4 linked regions of the Drosophila melanogaster genome follow. The protein of the gene in region 1 interacts with the protein of each later gene in a pairwise test. Each region holds a gene or a part of one and is shown on either strand. Other genes may lie near its edges. The genes, in order: dati, CG14210, GABPI and CG6576.

Region 1 (6,549 bases):
ATTTCGTTTTAACGATTGCAAGAGATTTAAAACCATTCGGATCTATATTTGTACCATATACATGTATAAGCCCTAATTGGCATACGTACATAGGCAAGAATAGAGATGGGAAGGATGCGCGCAATGTGAATATGCTTATTAATTTATAAGTATTATTCGTGCAGGCTCGCCACAGTCATGGAGTGGAAGTGCTGCCTTATGACCGTTCGCCCACAAATACCGAACCCGCACCAATTATGAGTTTACCATGCATGTGCACACAAAACACACACTCAACATGCAACACATACATATGCTAAAGTGCATTTGGTACACTCAGTATACAGTTTCTAAAGTAAAGATACATAGGCCTGCATTATATTATACCCTAAAAACTTTTGGCTCGAGACCGCTACTTTTATTAAGATAACTTAGTACTGCTAAGTTAGACTATGCCAAGAAAGAAAAGTATTAGTGGTCCGAAGGTCGGCTTATCTCTTTTGCATTGCACTGCTGGACATCTTGAAAAACTAGCCATCATTTTTATATTTGCTTGAGAGTTAGGATGCTAAAAGGAAAGCTAAAAGTGTTTCCGTACTATCAGGACAGTTTGAGGTAAGCGTGACCGGGTTTGACGTGCGTAATTGAGCCAACCTAACAACACGTTTTCTGAGCACAAGTTCTCAGCTTAACCAATTGAGTCAAGTGAGTTTGAACATTTGGTATGCTCGGTCTGTCCTTGTATTTAGCTGTACACTGTAAGCCCATTTTTAAGACCGCGGGACCCTAGGTTTTGCCTAAAGCTCATGCGTAGCTGTCGACCGATTGAACCTTAGATTATGTAGATATGTATGCGGATTGACTAGTTGTATTTAGACTGACTTGATAGAATTTCGGGTTTATGATCTCTTTTATGAGATGATGTGAATGCGACTTCATGGTAGCCTTGTCTACTATCTCACCAAAAGGCGTCAAAGTCCTCTTCGATCACTATCCAAGATAGCAGCCAAATACCAAAAGATACTATGTACTATACTATAAGGTATTTATCAATCATGTACGACTGCTGTAAAATATATCTATGGGAATAGCACATAATTTTCAACAAAAAAATAGTGGGTTTCCTGTAATTTTTTTTTACTGAGCATGTGTATACTTTTAAAACAATATTCAAATTTGCAAGAAGATATTTATGTACATACATATACCCTAGGTATCCGCTTTTTTCCACGCCACGAATTGTTGCGAATGCATGCATGTATGTGTGTACATAAATAAATATAATATTAAAGAAAATCGATAGAGGTCGATTCCCACAGACCAAAGCACAGACCAAAATCGATTGAGCAGCAGAGGTGGCGGCTAACGTTACCTAAATATGTACATATGTATATGCTGCAGCATACACGGCTGCACATTCATTTTGAAAAGGTAGGGTTCAATAGTGTTTTCCGGATGCCTATGTGCTTTGCGAGCCGCCCACTTGATTGTGTACGTGTTTGTACATAAGAACTTCACATAAGCATTAAAATGCATACTGCCGCACCGTGACGAAGACCAGAAATGCAGCCATATCGCACATACATGCACAAGTGCAGCGCAAAACTCGAGCTAGACAGAAACAGTTGGCTGGCTGTCCGGCGGCGGAAGGGAGATGGCTGAACGTGGACAGAAACAGGAGCTGGGCAGGGGTAGTAACAGGGCCAGGAGGTGCCAGAGAGGCCTTGAAGTAGACATTAAATCATGCACAAATTTGCATTCCACCGACCAGAACGGACTGTGCTGTGGTTGCAGCAAGACAGCAGGGAGGAGGTCGGTTTGCTGGGTGGTTGCAGTGGTCATCACGCTGCAACGCTGCCATAAGGGATGTTACTGCGGAAGTGCAGCGCTGACGGGACCCGACGACCAACGACGAGTGCAACAGCCCCCCTCCGCCTGCTTGTTTGAGAGTTATCAGTTGGAGAGGGCGGCGTAGGGGATGATGCAACGAAAACGCATATGAAAGCGGCATGGGCCAGACATACATATATGTTGTACACTGTACGCACACAGACTCACGTGGAGTGAATGGGCGCTGGGCAACAATAGCATGCAGCTTAATACACTTGAAAAAAAGACCAGAAAGCCATATCCCGCGCCTTAGACGGAGAAGGGAACGGGCAGGGCTAGACAGAGACTAGAGGCCTCATCAGGTCATCCCTACAAGGTGTAATTGAGGAGCAATAAGAATATCAATAAGCTCTCCGAGCTTAAGAATTGTAATTCAGGAATTGGTGCTTTATTGAAATTTTTTTATTCAATTTTTTTTTGAGTGTAGAGCTGCAACTGCAAATGCTGAAACAACTGCCACTGCAACTGCAGTTACCAACAGCGCCGGCGCTGGCACAGGTTCCCTGTCCGAGTGCAAGGATCTGAATCCACATCCGCCGCTTTCGCTGTTGTTGTCGCTCCCGCTGCTGTCACTTTTTGTTTAACACACAATTTTTATCTTATAATAAGCACACCGCTGCTGCCAGCTATTTCCCCAATTCGGCACCCGGCTGTCTCCATCCCAGTCTCCAGCTTGGGAAGCAACGTATGCCGAGGCGATGATTTTTATTCTCAATTATTTTGGATGCGGCATTCAGAAACGCAATATTCCATGGAGTAGAACAACCGACTGCGGATCGTCCTGACCTCGCGGATCATTTTTATTTTATCAAATGTGCTTAAACCAGATATAAAATGATTGTGGACTGTGCTAAAAACTAAAAACTAACCAAATAATAGAGTTGTTTGATAAAAAAAAAAAAACAAAGCACAAATGAATTGCTTGGCAATGCTTACTTGGACGATTTCATTTGTGTTTTACTGAATTCAGATGAAAATATGAAAACAATATTTCTTTTAATTTAATTTCAGATCATCATAATTTTAACAAACACAATAGACCAAAAATCGTTTTTAACAATAAAGAAGAATCCGTAACTAAACGATCAAATCGACAAACCTAACTCAACCCAGCCATCTTTCAGTTTTAAACGCAATAGAACAGATGCATTAATTAACTAAGTTTTCTACACCTATTACCAAAAAGGAAGAACCACATCAACATTAACTTCATCACCAATCCGAAAAATAACATCTAAACCAATATAACCTAACATAAAAACAGACCAACGAGAAAACCCATTTAAAAATTACTTTTTAGACAAATGAAAAATATAATTTACAACAAAATTGAAATCAAAAGTACAAAACGACATTAATGAATGCGCAAAAGAATTATAAATTTAATACAATATAAAACTGTATGTTTTAGTAACGATTACGTGAAGATTTAAGTCCAAACTAGGCTACTAATCGAAAATATGATTACGTGAAGATTTAAGTCCAAACTAGGCTACTAATCGAAAATATGATTTATATGATTTACACAAATGTGTACATAACCATATAGTCATTTAAATTGCATATATAGTCTCTTAATACTAATTTAAACAGTATATAATAAAACATTTAGATTTTCTACAGCTACAAAATACACTCCCTGAATGATTACCGAAGACACACTGACACCGGAACAGACAGTTTGAACTATCACATACCCTACAGCTAGCCCTAGCATAACCATACGTAACTATACACCAAGTCGCTTATTATTTTTTAATGATAAGAGCAATACTCAAAAAATAATAGTATAGATACATGATTAAGCGTGAAGAGATAGTGGTTATTATAGTAAACAGTACGTAAAATAGTATATAAAATTAAAGATATTGCTACTATAAATAATCAAAATATCATTCTTCGGTAATATAATGGACGATATTTTAAACTAAATATTCGTTTAAGTTACAAATGTGAACCTCGAATTATTTTAAAATTGGAATATATCATATTATATTTTTATATGTATATTAAATTATGAGACGTCACAATGCGTACATATGTAGGTATTTCCGAACAATACAAATCTGGGCATCAAAATAGTAGATCGTATCGGGTAACAAATTGTGATTCAAACGTTTACAAAATTTTTAAATTTATATGTAAACAAATTCAAATAGAAACTGCATCAATCTAACTCCATGTTTTGGGATAAATAGGCGATAAATGAATTTTATAACCAATATATCGCGACACCGTAACGTGTGCCTTATTCCGGCCTTAAGTTTAAATGACTTTTAATAATACATCAAAAACCTAATTCAAGTATATATTAAGCCCACGGACATTCAACTGCAAAGCCGTCGCACGTAAAAAGTCAATAGGATATAGGATTTTCTAATATAGGACCATTACCTGATTGGTATGCCGCCCATCACCTGCGACGTAACCGTCATCGTACTGTAATCGCCTGAGAATATGTTTGTTTTCAAGGTAATTATTGATCCTAACTTCCATGTTAATATCGAATCCCTACAGTCACAATGGCGATCATACCTTATATACACACATATATAAACATATGCGTGCATATATATACATACGTGTAACAAGAACAAAGTTTCCGTTTTCCGGCTTGACCGTTATTCCGAGGTGGCACGATTTGGCAACTAAGAGCCATTCCAAAGAGAGCATTATTATCCGCTGAGCAAAGATGCTGTTTCTTGGTAAACCCGAAGACGGGACGAAGATATTTTGCCGAAGGCCTTAGAGCTGAGTCCTGAAACGAAGACGTTTGGCTTACTTTGCGCCAGCGACGATGGCGACAGCGATGACTCGACTTCAGGCCGACTCCACTTTGCGTGCAAGTTCTATTTCTAAACGAGACGTGTCTGAACCCCCAGCAACAGTCATATTTATACTTGTCCGAGGCGGCGGCCAAATTAGTTTTTCTATGACTCGCGGGCCGCCAGGTTATCTGTAGTTGTTTGCTGGGAGCGACTTCCAAGTCTCAGCCGTAATCGTAACCGTAATCGAGGCCGTGCATATAGACAGTCACTGTATTCTTCCAACAAAAAAAACCTCGTAAAGAGGTAAAAGCAACCGAAATACGCACCAAACCACCAATTATACAAATGGCAGCAAGATAACATTTCGCTCCTTTTCGAACACTTGCATACGCGACACATTGCTTATTATTGGTTTTATTCACAAATTTTGGTTTTTTTATGCTTTGAACTTTAGTTTCTTTTCTTTAAAAAGTGATTAAAACAGTTTGGTGACTATGTTCCATCCCCAATAATAACAAACAATTTATAAGTGTCCATGTGCGACGCTAGGATATTCAAGAATAAGTTTCCTAATTGACCTGTGTGTTTTATTTATTTCGACGCAACTACGTCTACGAGGAAATATATTAATTTTTCAAAACCGATGCCAACATATATGTGGCTTGGTAACTTAAGTCGTCCAGAAACTGGCTTATACAAGAAACCGTATTCTTATATATTAAGGCTCTACCTTCGATTGCTTTTAAATCAAATTGTCTATAAATTGAATCAGAAACGTTAAATTCTGGGACAAAAGCAATTTTGGTAGACTGACTTTTTTAAACAGAATGACCGATATATTAGCTATGGTGTTTATATATATATTTTAAATATATATCTTAAGAGACGTATGCGTATCTCACGTTTTTAATATATACAAAATACGGAAGTAATTTAATAATTCTTAATTTGATTTATTAATCGAAAGAATACGTGTAAAAAAAAGTTAGATCATTATACACTTTTTTACTTCATGGTTTTACTTCCATGGTTTGGCTTAAAAAAAAAGCACTCCAATTTTATATCCATTATTTTAGAGGAAATCATCCTGAGGCACTAGAGAAATGTTGTTATTTCTTAATGATTTAATTGATAGGTATACTGCTTCAAAAAAGCTAAAGAAATTTTTGGAGAAAGCCTTCCGGATGTAACTGGCGCCAAAGCAGTCTTTTCTTGTCCGAAAACTTTAAACAACATTTTCTTAAAAACCACGATTTTCAAAATTATGTAAGTTATAATAAACAATCTAGTAAGCCAATTTTCATCATCTAGCATTCATTTTAAAGAGCATAAACATTTTTCAAAAAAATTTTTGTCAGTAATTGGCAGGGTTACTTTTGGAATTTTGCAAACATTTCTGCTCATTGACAATAAAAAACCCGAGTAAGAAAAGAAAAAAAGTTTGTTGAATTCAGACTAAAATTTCAAAACTTTTGTTAAAACGTTTTTTTATTACCTCTGCCATGACTATCGTAGAGTAAAAAGGGTTAAGCATTTCCGACCATATAAAGTATAAATACTCTTGATCAGAATCAATAGCCGAGTCGAACTGGCCATGTCCGCCTCAACCTATGAGGATTGAAACAAGCATTCATTCTGAATACATAGACGCAGCGCAAGTTTGTTGACTCATATTGTCACACTCACTCTAACGCCCACAAAGCGCCTTAACCTGCCACGGACACCTTTTTGAAATTCGAAATATTTCGTTATCTTTTCATATTTTTATTAGTTTTGTAAATTTATATCGAGTTGCAAAAAAAACTATTCCACGCCAACTATAACTCCCACAAACCGCCCAAAAATGCCACACCCACTCTTTTAAGAAATGATTCAATTTTGTTGGATTAAATAAGTCGTTTTCCTTATTTCA
Region 2 (4,761 bases), on another chromosome or scaffold:
GGACAGGTGCGTTACCAAGTTCGCGCGCTTCAACCAGAATATGATGAAAGTTTACGTGGATGTGCAGACCACAATCAACGCCAAGCGCATGGAGGAAATGGAGGAGAACGCCCGCAAGGCCGAGCAGCAGCAGAGGGAGCAAGAGAAGGAGCGACTGAAAGAGGCGGCCGCCACGGCAGTACTTACACCTGTCCAGCCGCCTGTCGCCGGCAATCTGTCCATGTAGCAGCAGTGGCATGCAACGCCGCAGCTGCTGTTCTCGATCCTAGATAGCTAATCGCAGAGTCCAGACCGCCCTCCACACCCGCAGTCGGCGACCACACGTACTCTTCCTACAAACAACCCCAAAACAAAAAAAAAAAAAAAACGAACCAACCAACCACACGCGATGCGGCGCATTTGTCTTGTTGCACTTATCGGCCTGCCAGCAGCCGGCAAATCCTCGCTGTGCTCCTGGCTGCTGGGTCAACAGGCTGCCCTCCGCGTCCGCCACATCGTTCATCTGTGCTACGACGACTTCCTCGACGCTACCCCCTCGGCCGACCTGGCCTACAAGGAGCAGCGCGGCCGCATTTTTAAAGTAATTGAAAAACTCATTTCCGCCATTCAAGAAGACACCGATTGGCCGCCTCAAGTCCGCCGCATTTCCTCCAGCGGCGACTACAACAGCGGAAGGCATCTGATCCTGTGCGACGATAACTTCTATTACCGCAGCATGCGCTACAAGCTCTACCAGCTGTGTCGAGACTCTGGCTGCATCTTCGGACAGATATACATGGCCAGTTCGCTGGACTCCTGTCTGCAGGCAAACTCACTTAGGAGCGATGCCACTCGAGTGCCGGTGGACGTGGTGCGGCAGATGAACGAGCGTCTAGAGGTGCCAGACACTTCGGAAGCCTGGGAACGCAACAGTCTCACACTTAATGGCCTCGATATGGATACCACGGGATCTGCGTTGCTTGCTTTTATTGCATCTCTGCTCGATTTGCCCGCAATGGAGACGACGTTGGACTTGCCACCGGCGGTAGCAAGAGGACTACGACAAGATCAGTCTCTGGTGCACCGCCTGGATTTGCTCCTGCGGACGCGCATTGGGGCGTTGCTCGATGGACTGAGACAAGGGGAGGACAAGCGCTTGGCGGGCCAAACACTGAACAGTAGGCGCAAGGATATATTGACCAAATTCCGCACAGAGATCGGCGGCAAACAGATAGACGGCGATGTTGAGGGCGACGCCTTGGATTACTATGTAAATTTGTTAAACTAGGCTAAGATAAGCTAAATTCGTTTGTATGCCACACAATTGTGTACGTAGCGACCTAAATACATACATACATATGTGTTACAAAACGCTTTCTTGGCATTAAAACTAGATTTATTTATCAAAAAATACAAGTTAATCTAATGGAGCCACCTCAGACCACCTTCACCTGGCTGACGTCCCGCTTCTCGATCATGCGCATCTGTTTCTTCTTCATGCGCTTCAGCTTGGCGGGATTCTTGATGACCTGGACGACCTCCGAGCGGCGCTCGTTCGCCAGCCGGCGCTCGGCATTCTCCACGCGGCGCTGGTGCTTTTGGACGGCATCCTCCTTGCGCTTGTCCTTGATCTCCTTGGAGCGCTCCTTGATGTAGCGCAGCTCGTCGCGCAGGGCCGTCTTCTTTTCGAAGGACAGTCGGTTAACGGTCTTCTTAATCTTGCTAAATCTGCAGGCGAAGCCAATTGATTAGATGACAATGCACAATGCACAATGGAGAAACACCACTTACTTCTGCTTGGGCGTCTTCCACGGCCGGTTCGACTTGGGCTGGCCGCGTGGTATGCTGTTCTCCGGCTTTGCCGCCTTCTTGGCCTTTGCCGGCTTCTTGGCTGGCACAGTTTCCGGTGCGGATTCACTCATTTTGCGTTCGGTTTAGTCTAATATGAAATCAAATGCAAACAACACAAATACAAAACACGAGTGCACGTGTTGTTTCCACCGTCTATCGATAGCACGCAACATATGTTTGTGAAAGCCATCGGTGATCGGGGTGTTGCTTTCGATTACAAGTCATTGGGCGCCATTTCATAAACGTTTCAAATGCTTTGGTGCACACGAGTGTTGCTAACCGAAGATAAAAGCTCGTCTTTTATGATTTCAAATATATGTATTTTCTATGACTAGGAAAACATTTGTTTAACACTCTAATCGTCCTTACCCCAACCTATCTACCCTTGCCACTTGACTATAAAGATGTGTAAAACTACATCTTATCTTGTGAGTCGAAGGTAAATTCTACGGCATACACAGAAACGAAATGTGTAAACTTATAGATAGTATTATCTTTTCACATGTTCCCTATTTCGGTTTTAATAGGAATTATTATTTTCTCCAACAAACAGTTACATTGCTTATTTTGCGATTTTATTGTAACAACATCGTTTTGATTTTCCAATAGCAAAAATTAAATATTTCGTTAAACTAGGAACAAAGTACACAATATTGTTTAATGTGCGTCGTAAATTTGTTGAAATCAAATACAGATTATTAGAATTCGAAGCTCAAAAGCAAAGTTGATAAGTAAGCTCATGTTTGTTTTCGAACCAAGAAAAACAAGAATTTTATTTCACTACAATTTAACAATTTCGAATGGGGCTCGCCAAACCCAGCAGCAGACGATTTCCCACCTGCCCACCGATTTCCTGGCAACTTTGGCATTAATCTACATATGTACAAAGATTCACGTCGACATGCTGTGGTCACCGCATTGGGAGCGCGTTCAGGAGCCGGGCCCCTTTGTCGCCTGATTGCTCCGATTGTGCTGGTCGATGTTGTAGTGATAGAAGAATGACTTGCCGTACTCGAAGGACGAAATCATTATCGCACATGCGGGCGCTACCTTGAAGAGTCGGGGCCCCAGTCCAGAGAAAATGGCGGGCACACCGCCCATGCGGTAAATGCTGGCCAGGCGCATCGCCACCGACTTGGTGGCCACTTGCTTGGGTGGATTATCTGCCGTAATGCAAACCGAACCATTGTCAATGCTGCTACGGGAGTTGGTTGCAGCAAGCTGAACCACATTGGGCCTACCTGAGAATATGAACTTCTCGCCGAATTCGATCTGCTCGTGCGTTTTCACCACATCGAAGGGCGTGGTGATGGTGGCGGCCACCTGGAAGGGGAAACATGAGGGGTTACCGACAGTCGACACAATTGATTTGTAGCGCAGTTGTCTTAGTCTTACCGATCCGGATATCGCTCCCGCCGCAAAGCTGAAGCTAAACGTTGGCTCCACAACGCCAAAGGAGCTCTTGAGGTACTCGTAGCAGGTCCAGTAGATGCCGGAGAAGGGCACGTCGCGCAGGATGGTTGGCGGCAGACCGCGCCACAAGCCCAGCACGCCCTGCGACTGCACCACTTGGCGAATGGTGCCAAACATCTCGGCGTGCGTCATGCGCTGCGATTGCATCTTGGTGCGGATTAGCTCGACGGGACTTACACAGGTTACGGCCAGAATGCGGCCCGACACGCCGGCCAGCAGCGGCACCAGAAATGGAATCGGGTGTGGAATGTCGTGGGCAATGGTATCCGGGCGTCGCGTGTATTTGTAGTGGATATCGGTGAAACGGGCCTTGAACTGCTCATAAGCCACGAAGTATATGATGGTCGAGGGCAGGGCCGAGATTAGCGTTGGGCTGAGCCCCGACCACAGGGAGCCGATGCCCTCAGTGCGGCTGATTTTGATGAATGCGTCCTGGAGAGAGGCTGGGTTAAGTATTAAGTGTCCCGGTTTTCCCAACGCTTACCACTTACAATGGTGCCAGAAAAACGGGGAGCGGGCTTGGCGGCTGCTGGGTTGGGCGTGTCCGGGCCGCAGGGGCAGATGTGGTCCATGAGGCCGTTGCAGTAGAGGAAACACTTGTTTGAGAGCAGCGCCTGCTGCTGTGCCTGCAAGCGGGTCTTGATCACATCCAGAGGGGTCACTGCAATGGTAAACCTATCAGTCAAGCACTGACACTACGCCATTCGACGCTGTGTGGCGGGCAACATACTAAAGCAGGCCGTCACCATGGCGCCGGTACAGGCGGATGCCACTTGCTGCAGGGGTCGGATCCGAAAACGGGGGTCCGTCATCGTGGCCTTCGACGGATTTTGACTGGAAGCAGCCGCCATTGCCGCACTGGCAGCAGCAAACTGGCCGCAGGCCTCCCTCGTAGCCATGACAGATGCACTTGCTCCTCTTCCACGCGATTGGCGGTTGCTTCACTGGGAGCGCCGGTAAGCTGGTGGCGGCAAACGGTGATGTGAGATGAGATGAGAAGGCGAATCGTGTGCTACGGCGTGTTTGTTGACGATGTTCAGAGCTGTGCTATTAGTCAAGCTCTCCGATCATTGTGAAATAATTTACGGATCCCAAAAGAAAACACCGTGCTCAGTGCTCATCCGAGTTGTACCATTTCCATTCCATTCCACGACGATCAGCTGTTGCCGCTGGGCGCTATCGACAGTGAAGTCGGAACGGAAATGCTATCGCGGTGCTATCGAAAATCGTTCTTGTTGTTCGCTTGAATTCAAAAGTATATTTACCATCATATTCTTTTTACTCAATTTGCAACTATCTTTAGCCTTCGCATGAAATGTAAGATATTTTTAAGTTGCACATACTAACGTTACGTTAATTAGTAAACTTTAGTTTGTTAAATAAAGCCATAGAAATACAAATGATTTACAAGAAATAGTGATAGTTTAGTCAACGAAATATAAACCAAATAAGCGTTGC
Region 3 (5,722 bases), on another chromosome or scaffold:
CGAGGAGATGGACCGGCTGCAGGGCAAAGCCCTGCTCCAGCCACGGTTTCTGCAGCACATGCAGGAGCGGGCCACAGAGCGGAGCATGCGTCATGAGCAGGCTCGTCAGCGGAGGGCTCAGGCAGAAGCCGAAAGGGAGGCAGCCAAGCTAGCTCTAGAGGAGGCTAAGGTTTGTTACTACATTCATTTAAAGCTTTAATCTACCTGAACTTGTAAACAGCGCCAGGAGGACGAGGAAGCCAAACGGCTCAGAATGGAGGTCCTTAAAGAGAAGCGTCGCCAGGAGAAAATGGCAAAGGTGCTAAAGGAGCGCGAGCGTCAACGTTTTATTGAGAACCAGCGGAAGGCCGTGGAGTTCAGTCGCAAACTTTTAAAACGGACGGGCATGGAAGGCTTCAAACGACTGCTGGAGCGGAAACGTGAGAATCTTGTTAAGAGCGAGGAATTCCGTTGCCGGGTAAGCTTTCATATGGGTGTAGCTTTTCCTCACTAACATCCTTCCATATTCCAATGGCAGTTGATCACAAAGAACTCCTTCAGTTCGTGGCACAGCTATTCGACATACAGACAGCGCGAGAAGATCATCAAGGCGGAGATCTGTTGGCACAACATCCTCAAGCGGCGCGCTCTGTATGCGTGGATTTTGTATGTGCAGAATGAAAAGAGCAAGATGCTAGTGGCGATCGATTGGCATGCACTGCGCTCCATGGAACACTGGTTTGCGCGGTGGCACAAGTATTCCACGCACTGCCGGATGATTGAAGACAGCAAGACTCGGCAGGCCATCTCGCACCATGAGTGGTAGGTCCCTGTAAAATAGAATTCACTGTATTATGTATCATTTTCAATTGAACCAATTTAATAGGCACCTGAAATGGAAGGTCCTGGACTGCTGGCGACGCTTGCCGCAAATCCTGAAGATCGAGAAGGAAACGGAGGAGCGACGCCAGCGGTGGCGCATGAAAATATGGGAGCTCTTGCCTGACTACAAACCGAGAGAGGACAGCTTGTGGTAGCTACTAGATAGAACATTATTACTCTTGTTCGTTGTGCGTTTTGAGTTACTTAATTATATTTATTTTAAATCAATTTTAAATTGCAATAAAGACTTCAAAGCGGTACGACTAAGTACGACTACCGAGAACAGCGTTAAGATTTGAAATACTTTAGTATCTAAGCGACATGCTTGTGCTTTTTGCTTTTTGGTGTGTGAGTAGTCACTTTAAGATGGCTCGCCAGTTGCTCCAGATTCTGTTGCGTCCTGCGGCGTTGGAGGTGCGCTTGTATTCGTGCAAGGTGGATCCCTTCCACCACAAGTAAGCCTGTCTAGCGAGTATAAAGGCTATGTAGGAAGAAATGAGCAGAGCGTAGCAAGCCACCACAAAGGAGATTCCGAGGCTAGAAACAGAGTGTGCATAAGAAACGTTAATTGGAAATAGAAACAAAGTATCTACTCACTCGAAGCCTTCGAACACCTCACTGCAGTCGTCGGGCAAAAGAACTGGATAACCAAGCGGTCGCACCACCATAAACGGATGGCAAATGGAAGTGAGGGTCAAGTTTGCGCCGAGCAGCAGAGCGATCTCCGACAGGGCCAGTCCAACAATGTACCACACGTAGTTCCGCTCGCCAATGCAGCAGTTTAGCCAGTAGCTGTGATGATCGCGCCTCTTCACGCAGGTTCCGCAGACGGGACAGTGGTATGCCCGCCTTGGAGTAACCTTCCGGCAGATCTCGCAGATATTGGGCTGACCGTGCATCAAGCCAGATCGCTCAGCAGTGTCCATATCCCCCACCTCGTCATCATCCAAACTCAGCACACTCTCCATCTGGAGTGTGGTCTGGGCCTCTGCCTGCTCCTCGCCACTCGAAGCCTCGGCGATCCCAGGCAGCTCATCCTTGGGCGTGGTTCCGTATTGAGCAGAAACAAGATTCAAGGGCGACAGTGCCTTGGCGGAATAGAGGCAGTACAAAGCGGCACAGGAGAAGAACATTAACGCGTAGTTCTCCTCCGGAGCCAGCTCCAGCAGAGGAACCTGAAACTCAAATATGATGATCATGTAGAACACCGAGAAGACCAGCCAGCTCAAAAAGAAGTTTGTCCGCGTGGCGGTCCGCTTAGCCAGCTCCATGCCCCAGATGGTGAAGCCCACCAGCGTGAGCATCAGCACTATGGCGGTCTTTGAGTTCAGAGTGGCCAATCCCAGCATGAGGGGGACAATGAAGGCGGGAGCAACGGCTGCGGGCGAGATTCGCTTGGCTCCTCCGCGCCATGGCAAGCGCAGTCTATCCTGGAAGGCGATGAGCATGCCGTCGATGTTCCTTCGATCAATGGCTCGGCAGGTGACAAGTCTGTGGTAAATTTAATTTTAATTGTAGACGGCCTTTCATTTATGTATCCTACCTTGTGCAAACTAAGTCGAAGTCCACGCAGTTACAACAGCATCCTAGGATGTGGGATCGCTCTCGACTGTCCTCAGCCACGTACTCGCAGCAGCAGAGACTCCCGTTCTCCTTACTCTTGGACTCCTCAGCCTCTGATCTCCAGGCTGCAGAAAGAAAATTGGAGGTGCCGGCTGTCATCAAGAACATCGATTTGGACAGGAAATGGCGCGGCGAACGTTTTTTAATGAGTTCCGAGCAGCGTGTACGGAAACAGTTTAGATTAGATTAGTGCACGCCCTACTGGCCGAGTGGAGAAATGTTTCAAAAGTAATTATCAGATCCGGGTGGGTCCATTTTAATTGTTTTATTGGAGTACAACGAATTTGCTTACAATTTCTCCGGAATAACGACAACTACAACAACACAGCTGACGAACGTCCCTCCCTTACAGGGTGCCCCGTGTAAAGTGGGCTGCCAACTTGTTTTATGCTACCGCTATGTTTTGAACTTAGATCTCTTATCATTATTACAAAGTTTAAGAATTGTGTTATAAATAATTCCAAAATATATTTTATTTAAATTTCAATTGCAAGATTCCTCTTTTTAAGTTTTCGTCTGCCTGCCAAACACTCTCACTTTGGAAAACATTTCCCAGCCTAATGTTCTCTGAAAACTGTTCCAGGCCGCCACCAACTCCAAAATAATGAGATTTTGCGGCAACCAAAATGACTCCATCGGATTTTAAGCGACCAGCAAAGGTATCCAAGAGCTTTTGCTGATTTGCAATATTGTATATAGTCTCAGAGGTAAGTATTAGATCGTATTTCGCCACATCCCTTGATAGTTCAGCAAAATGAGACCAATCTCCAGAATATAAGGTTGTACTGTTGTCTAAAAATTTCAGCTTTTCATCTTCAGATAAAGAGTCGTCCAAATTTAGCAGGATATTTGGATATGTTATGTATTCCAGCACATCTTTGTTCTGAAAATATATGATTGCAACCAAACTATTTCAAGACTTATTGTTTGCTTACGTAGTCCTGAAAATCCACCCGTGCGCCGTGTTTCATAGCATATATACCCAGCAATCCGCAGCCACATCCCAAATCTAGGACTCTTTTCTCCTTCCAGAATGAGTCCTCGTACTTTTCGGATAGATATAGTAGAAGATCTTCAGTGCATTCCCATATTTTAGCACCGCCCTCGTAGACACCGGAAATCAGATCTGAATGATTTTCCTCAGACTTCCTGAGATCCAGGTTTACCAAGTGGGATTGCTCCTTTAAATCCTCCAGCAGAAACCCGGCCACAAGATGTTTTATCGTCATCTTTCCCACCTCCATTTCCTTGGCGTTAAGCTCATAGAAATCCATTGCCGAAATTAGGTTATCCAGTGGTTGTACTTTCTCCGAATTGTACCAATCTATATCCTTTGTGATACCCGACTCACGTTCTTCTGAATTTTCCTGCTTGCTAAAAATATCATTTTTAACGGCCTCTGGATCTTCCGAGGATTCCGCCTTCACATCAAAATTAAATTTGAACATGCTTAGAAGGTAGGGTGTTGAACTGTTTTGATTTTAGCAGATACTGCTTGTTAAATATCGTACTGAAATGGACAAATTAGCATTGTTAAACTGGTAATCTATGAAATATTTTAATATTTACCTCCTTAAATCAGCTGTCGGCAAAAACCACGCTTTTCGTACTAAGATCGCCCTGTCCTTTGCGTTGCCAGCTTGATTTAGGGTCTCGCATTTTCATATCGAATATATCGATATGTCTCGGTGGTACAAAAATATCTTGTCGCGCATCACTAGAATTGTGGTTTATAAAAAAATTTCGGCTCGGTTTGGGTTTTTAAAGATTAATTTAATTTATGGCGGACCAGTTGAACAACGAGGTGAGTTTGCTGCGAAACCCAATCGGCAAGACATCTATTGAATGCCAATCCTTCCAGCCCGGCCAACCCACGCCGCTCATGTCCATTCGCTTCGACCAGCAGCAGCACGAAAGTGCGGCGGCCAATGGAAATGAGAACGGCAATGGTAATGCCAATGGCGACGGCGATGCCTCCGAAGATGCTGTTGATGCCGAAAAAACGCCCGGAGAACTGGTCCTGCCCAAGGCCTTGGAGGACGTTCTGGCTTTGAAGGATCAAAGGGCAGCCGAGTTCACGGTGGACGCCGATTCGCAGGGTGGCAGTGGGGGTGCTACCCAGGACGGCGACGAAGCGGATGTGGGCGAGGACAGCGAGGAGGATGCGGATAACCAGGTGAACGGGAGTGCCAGCCAAAAGACCGGCAAGCAGAGCAAGGCGGAGCGTAACAAAAAGAAGAAGAAGCGAAAGAAGCAGAACAGGAAGATACGCCACCAGATTGAGTTCGCACGGCAGCAGCAGTTGGCCCAAGCGGAGGAGAACGAACCGGAGGCCAAGGACTCGGAGACAAAAGCCCATGGCAGCGAGGACGAACAGGTTGCCGAAAAGGAAAAGAAGGACAAACGCAAAGAGAGTCGCAGCAAGCGCAGGAAGGATCGTAGTGATGAGAAAGATACGGACAAAAAGGCTGGCGAGGCCAATGATGAAAATGTGACCATTGAGTAAGTCATAGCAGCTCGTTCCGAGGAACCACACTAATAAACTCTTATCCCTTTCAGATATGTGCCCGAAAAGATAACCATTGCCGATTTGGCGCCAATGTACCGCCAGTTTTATCGTGTGTTCGAAATCTTCAAGCTGGAAAACAAACCAAAGCCTGTGGAGAAGGACAAATCTTCGCACGATTCTGAGTCCCATCCCAGGGACAAAAAGGCTACAGACAAACAGCTCGAGGACGAGGACGATGACGGCGATGATGACGAAGAGCGCAAGGAAGACAAGGAGAAGCTGTCCAAGCGGAAACTTAAGAAACTGACCCGTTTGAGTGTGGCAGAACTGAAACAACTGGTCTCTCGACCTGACGTAGTGGAGATGCACGATGTCACAGCGAGAGATCCCAAACTACTGGTTCAACTGAAAGCCTATAGGAACACAGTACAAGTGCCGCGGCATTGGTGCTTCAAGCGAAAATATCTGCAGGGCAAAAGGGGTATTGAGAAGCCTCCGTTCGATCTCCCCGCCTTCATCAAAAAGACGGGCATCATGGAGATGCGCGAATCGTTGCAGGAACGAGAGGACGCCAAGACACTCAAGGCCAAGATGCGTGAACGCGTCCGTCCCAAGATGGGCAAAATTGACATTGACTACCAGAAACTTCACGATGCCTTCTTCAAGTGGCAGACCAAGCCCCGCATGACCATTCATGGCGACCTCTACTACGAGGGCAAGGAGTTTGAG
Region 4 (4,953 bases), on another chromosome or scaffold:
ATGAAACTTAATCGAATCCCACTTAGCTTAGCCCTATATGAACTACCATGACTGTAGTGGAATTCGCCCATGAAAATACTTTTCAGGAATTTCTCGATGTAAATCACTTCAAATAGGGGGCTCTTCCCAAGTGGCTCCCATCCCGGCGAATGACAACTATCCGGGAATAAAAAATAATATTATTACATTTCCAGGCGCCCGCCCAATGTGAAGAATTGGCGAGCGAGCGAGAGGGAGTGAGGAAGAAAGAAAGACAGACAGTCTCGGCTAATTGTTTTCGCTCAGTGAAATGGAATGCCAAACACACAAATAGCCAACAATGTGCAAAACAAGCAAACGGAGACACTCAGCCGGAGGAGAAAAAGAGTGGAGGATCGTGATGGTGTGGATGTGGATGGGCCTATGGATCTTCTCTGGAATGACTTCGCCATGTGTACTTTGTTCACCGCCGATTCCAGCGGAGTGCTGCACTTCTGACAGCATTATTATGCGGTCTCAATTAGGAGATTGCAGAATCTCGGAGTCTGCAGATCAGGAGCAGGATGCGCTATAATGCGCCTGTCTGTCAGTAGCCACAGCCCATTAAGAACGACCAGGAAAGCCATCCACTCACAAAGTATTTAGACTGTGACCCCAGATGATTCGAAGTGGCGACTGAATATTCGCTTGCCAGACAAATGATTTATTTTTAAATACGTTTTCTATTGTAGTTTGCTCTGACGAAAGTGTCGAAAATGCGTTTCGGGAAACTCAACTATGTGGAGATCGGCGCTTAAAAGGATAATGAAATATTCAACCCCAGAAAGTCGTTCAAACATAAATTTCCAAACAAATTAAATTAGTTAATCTGAAAATTATAGTGATTATAACCAATTTATGAGTTATAATCAATTCCGAGCTTATTCATTTTCGATATTTTCCGAATGTTTATTAATTTTTTTCGATATTTACATATATGTACTAAATCGAACCTTATTTTAAATAACTAAATCGCACTTTTTTTCGTAACAAATAATTATTCCCGTTTTTACTCCTCAGCCAATTCTATATTTAAAGCCAAACAAGTTCTTATACAGAAGGGCTACCAATTCACGAAGATCAACAATTTTACCAAGTATTCAAAGATCTAACCAACTGCCAAATTGCTATTCTATTTGGGACTAGTCTTTCTTTTTTATCCTTGGCGCCGATTCCAAATGTGTTATCTATACTGATTATCATCTCGATCCGTTTCCGGATCTTCAGTCAAATCAGTAGTTGGCGGTGGATCCGTTTCCGTATCTGGATCGGATTTCGTAAACTCATCCGGTTCAAGACTGCCCACAAGTCCCAGATCTTGGGTCTCTGGCTCAAATGGATCCCAACACGGAGCCTTCGGTGGTTCATTGATAATCGAATCACGCATGGCACGCATTCCCATCTCAAGGGCGCAGTCCATGGAATTTCTGTCAGGTGGTTCGCGGGTTAGAGGCCCATTGAAATGCACATAAATGTCTCCCTGGGCAGCCAAATCTAGTCCGTAGGTGGTTAGATCCTCACCAAAGACCAGCTGCGTGGCGCCCGGATCCGTTTGCGTAGTCCTCATGGCGGCCAGCAGCCCAATGATCCCAAATTGATCTGACAGCATCGTGGCCGGAATATTAGTGAATTTCCCATCGTCTGTACTACGTATTCCCGCGGCATTTGTGTTCGTTGAGGAGGAGGTAGATGCCACCTCGGGCTCCTGCAACACTGATTCATAAGAGGGCTGACCAAAAAGATCAGCAAACGTGGGCATCGACGGCTGGCGATCGTAGAGTTCCGGGAAGAGTTTGTAATCCGATTCGATTTCAGATTCTACGCTCGAAGTGCTGACGACTTCCGGTGGCTCTTCGCTGGGCGGATCCGGCAAGGGCGGTGGACGTTGTGGCTCTACCTTTTCTGCACTGGGTGCAGTCTCCTGTTTCTTCTTTCTCAGCGCTATCGAGGGATTCACCTTACATCGTGGACGTCGACGCCGTGTCATTTTTTATCTTTTTATCAAAAAATGTCCTTGACTTGTGTCTGTGTTCGAGTGTTGTGGGGGGCTTGGGTGGCAGTTGGGTGGACGGGTGAGTGTGCGTGGATAATCTCGGACTCAGATAGCTTGATTCATAAATCCTTATCTCGAAGCCTATTTGAGAAGCGCCTATCACCGCCTTCCTTTGTGCTACACTACAACAAATTTTGATCTGTTTTGATGAATAATTCAAATGAAAACTGATTGTGATCGCATTGTGTGTGACGAGTAGAGATATTTCTAATGAAATCAATAATCGAAACAATGTTTAATCATTACCGCTTTCGCTAATACATTATGAATATAAATTTAGTTATATGATAATATATACTTATTTTTTTTGAATATGAAGTTAAAAGCTTTAGTTATATTTGCAACTTTATTGTTTCTCCATTACCGTTCCCCTACTTTCTCCCCTCACAAACAAATTGCATGAGTATTCACACTTTGTTAATTAATTAGGTGGTGCGTGCTCTCACCGGAGAACTTTCAACTTTATGCTTGTCATAAATATTTACAACTTCCTTCTGGCCATAAAAATCCTACACAAAGTACCAACTCCAATGAGGAAAAAAGAGACTGCGTCAACGTGAACGAAACAGAAATCATTTTGCTTTACTCCCAACATTTTTAGAAACATTCTATATATAATTGGAGAAATGACTCGGGAGAAGATGAAGTGGTAGATGTGCGTGGGATGGGGTGGAAACTTGTTGTTTGCCGCCCATAAATTGATCAGTTTATTAGATTCTAAGACCCGAAAAATATTTAATTGATTTATGCTCAATGAGTCAAAAGTCAGGCTAAAGTCATAAACTGGATGCCTGGGAACAAAAGGATATAATGAGTTGAACATAAAGGGGATTAGTAGAAAGCGATTTGGAAGTTTGGGAATGACAACCGAAATTAAGTGTATTTATATTATAGGATAGATATAGAAATAATGCACTTTTTATATAAAAGTTCACAAGTATCACATGATGTCGAACGGGTTAATAATATAAATAAATATGATGATAAGTTCAATAAATAACACAAAATGTTTACTTGGGAACTGTCAGTCATTGGTCAGTATCAATAATGAATCTGCCATAAAGTATGTCAAATAACTCAAAATTAATTCCTTTGACAACTGTGCATATACGCAAATACTAACATAAATCAAGTTAAATAGGTTTAAAATTCGGAACTTAACCTGCTTTGCCAAAGTAAAAGCCATTTATTCATGCATTGGTTTGCTATTCAAACACAACAATTCGTTCATTCAGTAGCCACACCTCGGCCATAATTTGTGCTATTTGTGTGGATAGGAAATTAGAACAATCAACTAGACACAAATCCCAACCAAAAAACCAGACAATGAGCAAATTTGTATCTAAATTGTTTATCAATGGATCTGGAGCCCACACCACATCGAGAGCGAACATTCAGATACATTTTATCTGCCATATAAAACGTATACGTATGTATCTGCGAAATACTCTTGTGTGTGGGGTAAGGCAACAAATTAGAAATAAACAAAATCCGTGGATGCGAAGAATTGCAAAAAGGCACAGAGCGAAGATACAAAGATCGAGATACACACTATATAGTACGAGTAGGTATTATGCAGATACAGATACGGATAGTTGGCGCTGCATTAACTAGTACTTACATAACTGCGGTAGGACGACATTACGTTGCTCTTGGCAAGCGATCCTCGATCGCAGATCGGATCAAAATTCGGTCACAATGTATGTTTATCGCCCTTTCAAAATTGGTGTATAATTTATTTTGGTATGGCCTGGGTTTGGTAATCCAATCTGGCAAACACTCGCGCGAGATCGAAACGGAGGAACTCGAACCGCTGACGACAATTACGAAAACGTATCTGCCGGATGCCGACTCTCAATTGCAATAGATGCAAAATAAATTAGATGCACTTACTGAAATCGCGCGCGTGCGACAAATTTCTACGACACTCTCTCTGCATTCCCCTATTTTATTCAATTTTATTTTATTGTATTTATTTCTTTTCTGCTAAGTAAACTATTATTTCCTTTGCTTTTATTTGCGCTGGGCGATACTCCGAGATCGGTATCGGGATCGGCCGTGTGTCACTTTACATAATCCACCGGCACGCACCGGGCAGGTTTGGGATATATACTGTCGATGCCTATAGGGCATACGAGCAGATATAGACTATAGCGCCCCGATCTATTTGGGAATGCAGCCGGCGAATGCGACAGAATCGGACGCGAGGCTCGCGCTTTATTTATGCGTTGATATTTTTCTTATTTTTCTTATTTTTTCCTATTTTCCCATTTTCCATCGCCTGCGTTTTCCGTTTCACGACGACGGACGCGTATCACTTTTGCTTTTATTTCAATTTACTTTGGGAGCAGCACAACTTAAGCTGTTATTTATAAATTTAGCAACATTCACACACTCGCTGAAAGATTGTGTCGCGATTTTTGTTTTTAGTTCTCGGTTCTTTTTGTTGGACCACAGCGAATCCGGCCGAGAGGAAAATCATGTGCGACTCGGCGCGTTGTCAAAGGAAAACTGTCTGGCCGCAGTGAAAATATTTTTGTGCCGAGATTTTCCCTCGCACCGAATTGCGTGAAAAGCTGAGTGGAGGAAAATCTCCGGCGCTCTCGCTTTGAGTATGCGTGTATTTTCGGCAAGCGAGAGATTCGATCGGAGATGAAGCTCTCGGAGATTCTGCCGGCTCTCCTCAGTCGGCGATCGCATTCGTAAATTGCAATCGAGAAACAAATAAATGTTTTAAACATACCCTGAATGAGGGTATCATTATTAGTTCCAGCATAACTTTAAGGATTTCGACAGATCCTTTGTACGGACAATTCATTCCGATTCTCTCTTGAACGGACAAGCATTTTTCTGGGTCGTGCTAAACGGACAAGTAAAATATA

What was found.
Region 2: the proteins of dati (region 1) and CG14210 interact in a two-hybrid assay, tested with the Drosophila melanogaster proteins (one large-scale study listed by BioGRID).
Region 3: the proteins of dati (region 1) and GABPI interact in a two-hybrid assay, tested with the Drosophila melanogaster proteins (one large-scale study listed by BioGRID).
Region 4: the proteins of dati (region 1) and CG6576 interact in a two-hybrid assay, tested with the Drosophila melanogaster proteins (one large-scale study listed by BioGRID).

What each region holds. Positions count from the first base shown.
Region 1 is NC_004353.4:391,654-398,202, reverse strand, and holds the start of dati (datilografo), read left to right. Parts: upstream 1-2,597; 5' UTR 2,598-4,341; intron 4,342-4,792; exon of another isoform or gene 4,793-4,940; intron 4,941-6,549.
Region 2 is NC_004354.4:19,613,416-19,618,176, reverse strand, and holds CG14210 (uncharacterized protein), read right to left. Parts: upstream 1,982-4,761; 5' UTR 1,902-1,981; coding exon 1,771-1,901; intron 1,708-1,770; coding exon 1,416-1,707; 3' UTR 1,352-1,415; downstream 1-1,351. Other genes in the region: Tim9b (translocase of inner membrane 9b), read left to right, coding at 1-226; Pstk (phosphoseryl tRNA kinase), read left to right, coding at 389-1,267; shawn, read right to left, coding at 2,761-2,993, 3,072-3,153, 3,226-3,735, 3,795-3,964, 4,034-4,202; tyler, read right to left, coding at 4,245-4,264.
Region 3 is NT_033779.5:3,027,630-3,033,351, reverse strand, and holds GABPI (beta4GalNAcTB pilot), read right to left. Parts: upstream 2,814-5,722; 5' UTR 2,593-2,813; coding exon 2,405-2,592; exon of another isoform or gene 2,353-2,404; coding exon 1,459-2,352; intron 1,399-1,458; coding exon 1,218-1,398; 3' UTR 1,052-1,217; downstream 1-1,051. Other genes in the region: CG17258 (uncharacterized protein), read left to right, coding at 1-169, 221-457, 518-801, 866-1,016; CG17219 (uncharacterized protein), read right to left, coding at 2,957-3,367, 3,420-3,932; Sf3b2 (splicing factor 3b subunit 2), read left to right, coding at 4,265-4,288, 4,346-4,986, 5,044-5,722.
Region 4 is NT_037436.4:8,753,235-8,758,187, reverse strand, and holds CG6576 (uncharacterized protein), read right to left. Parts: upstream 2,200-4,953; 5' UTR 2,006-2,199; coding exon 1,202-2,005; 3' UTR 1,021-1,201; downstream 1-1,020. Other genes in the region: Fhos (formin homology 2 domain containing), read right to left, coding at 3,693-3,713.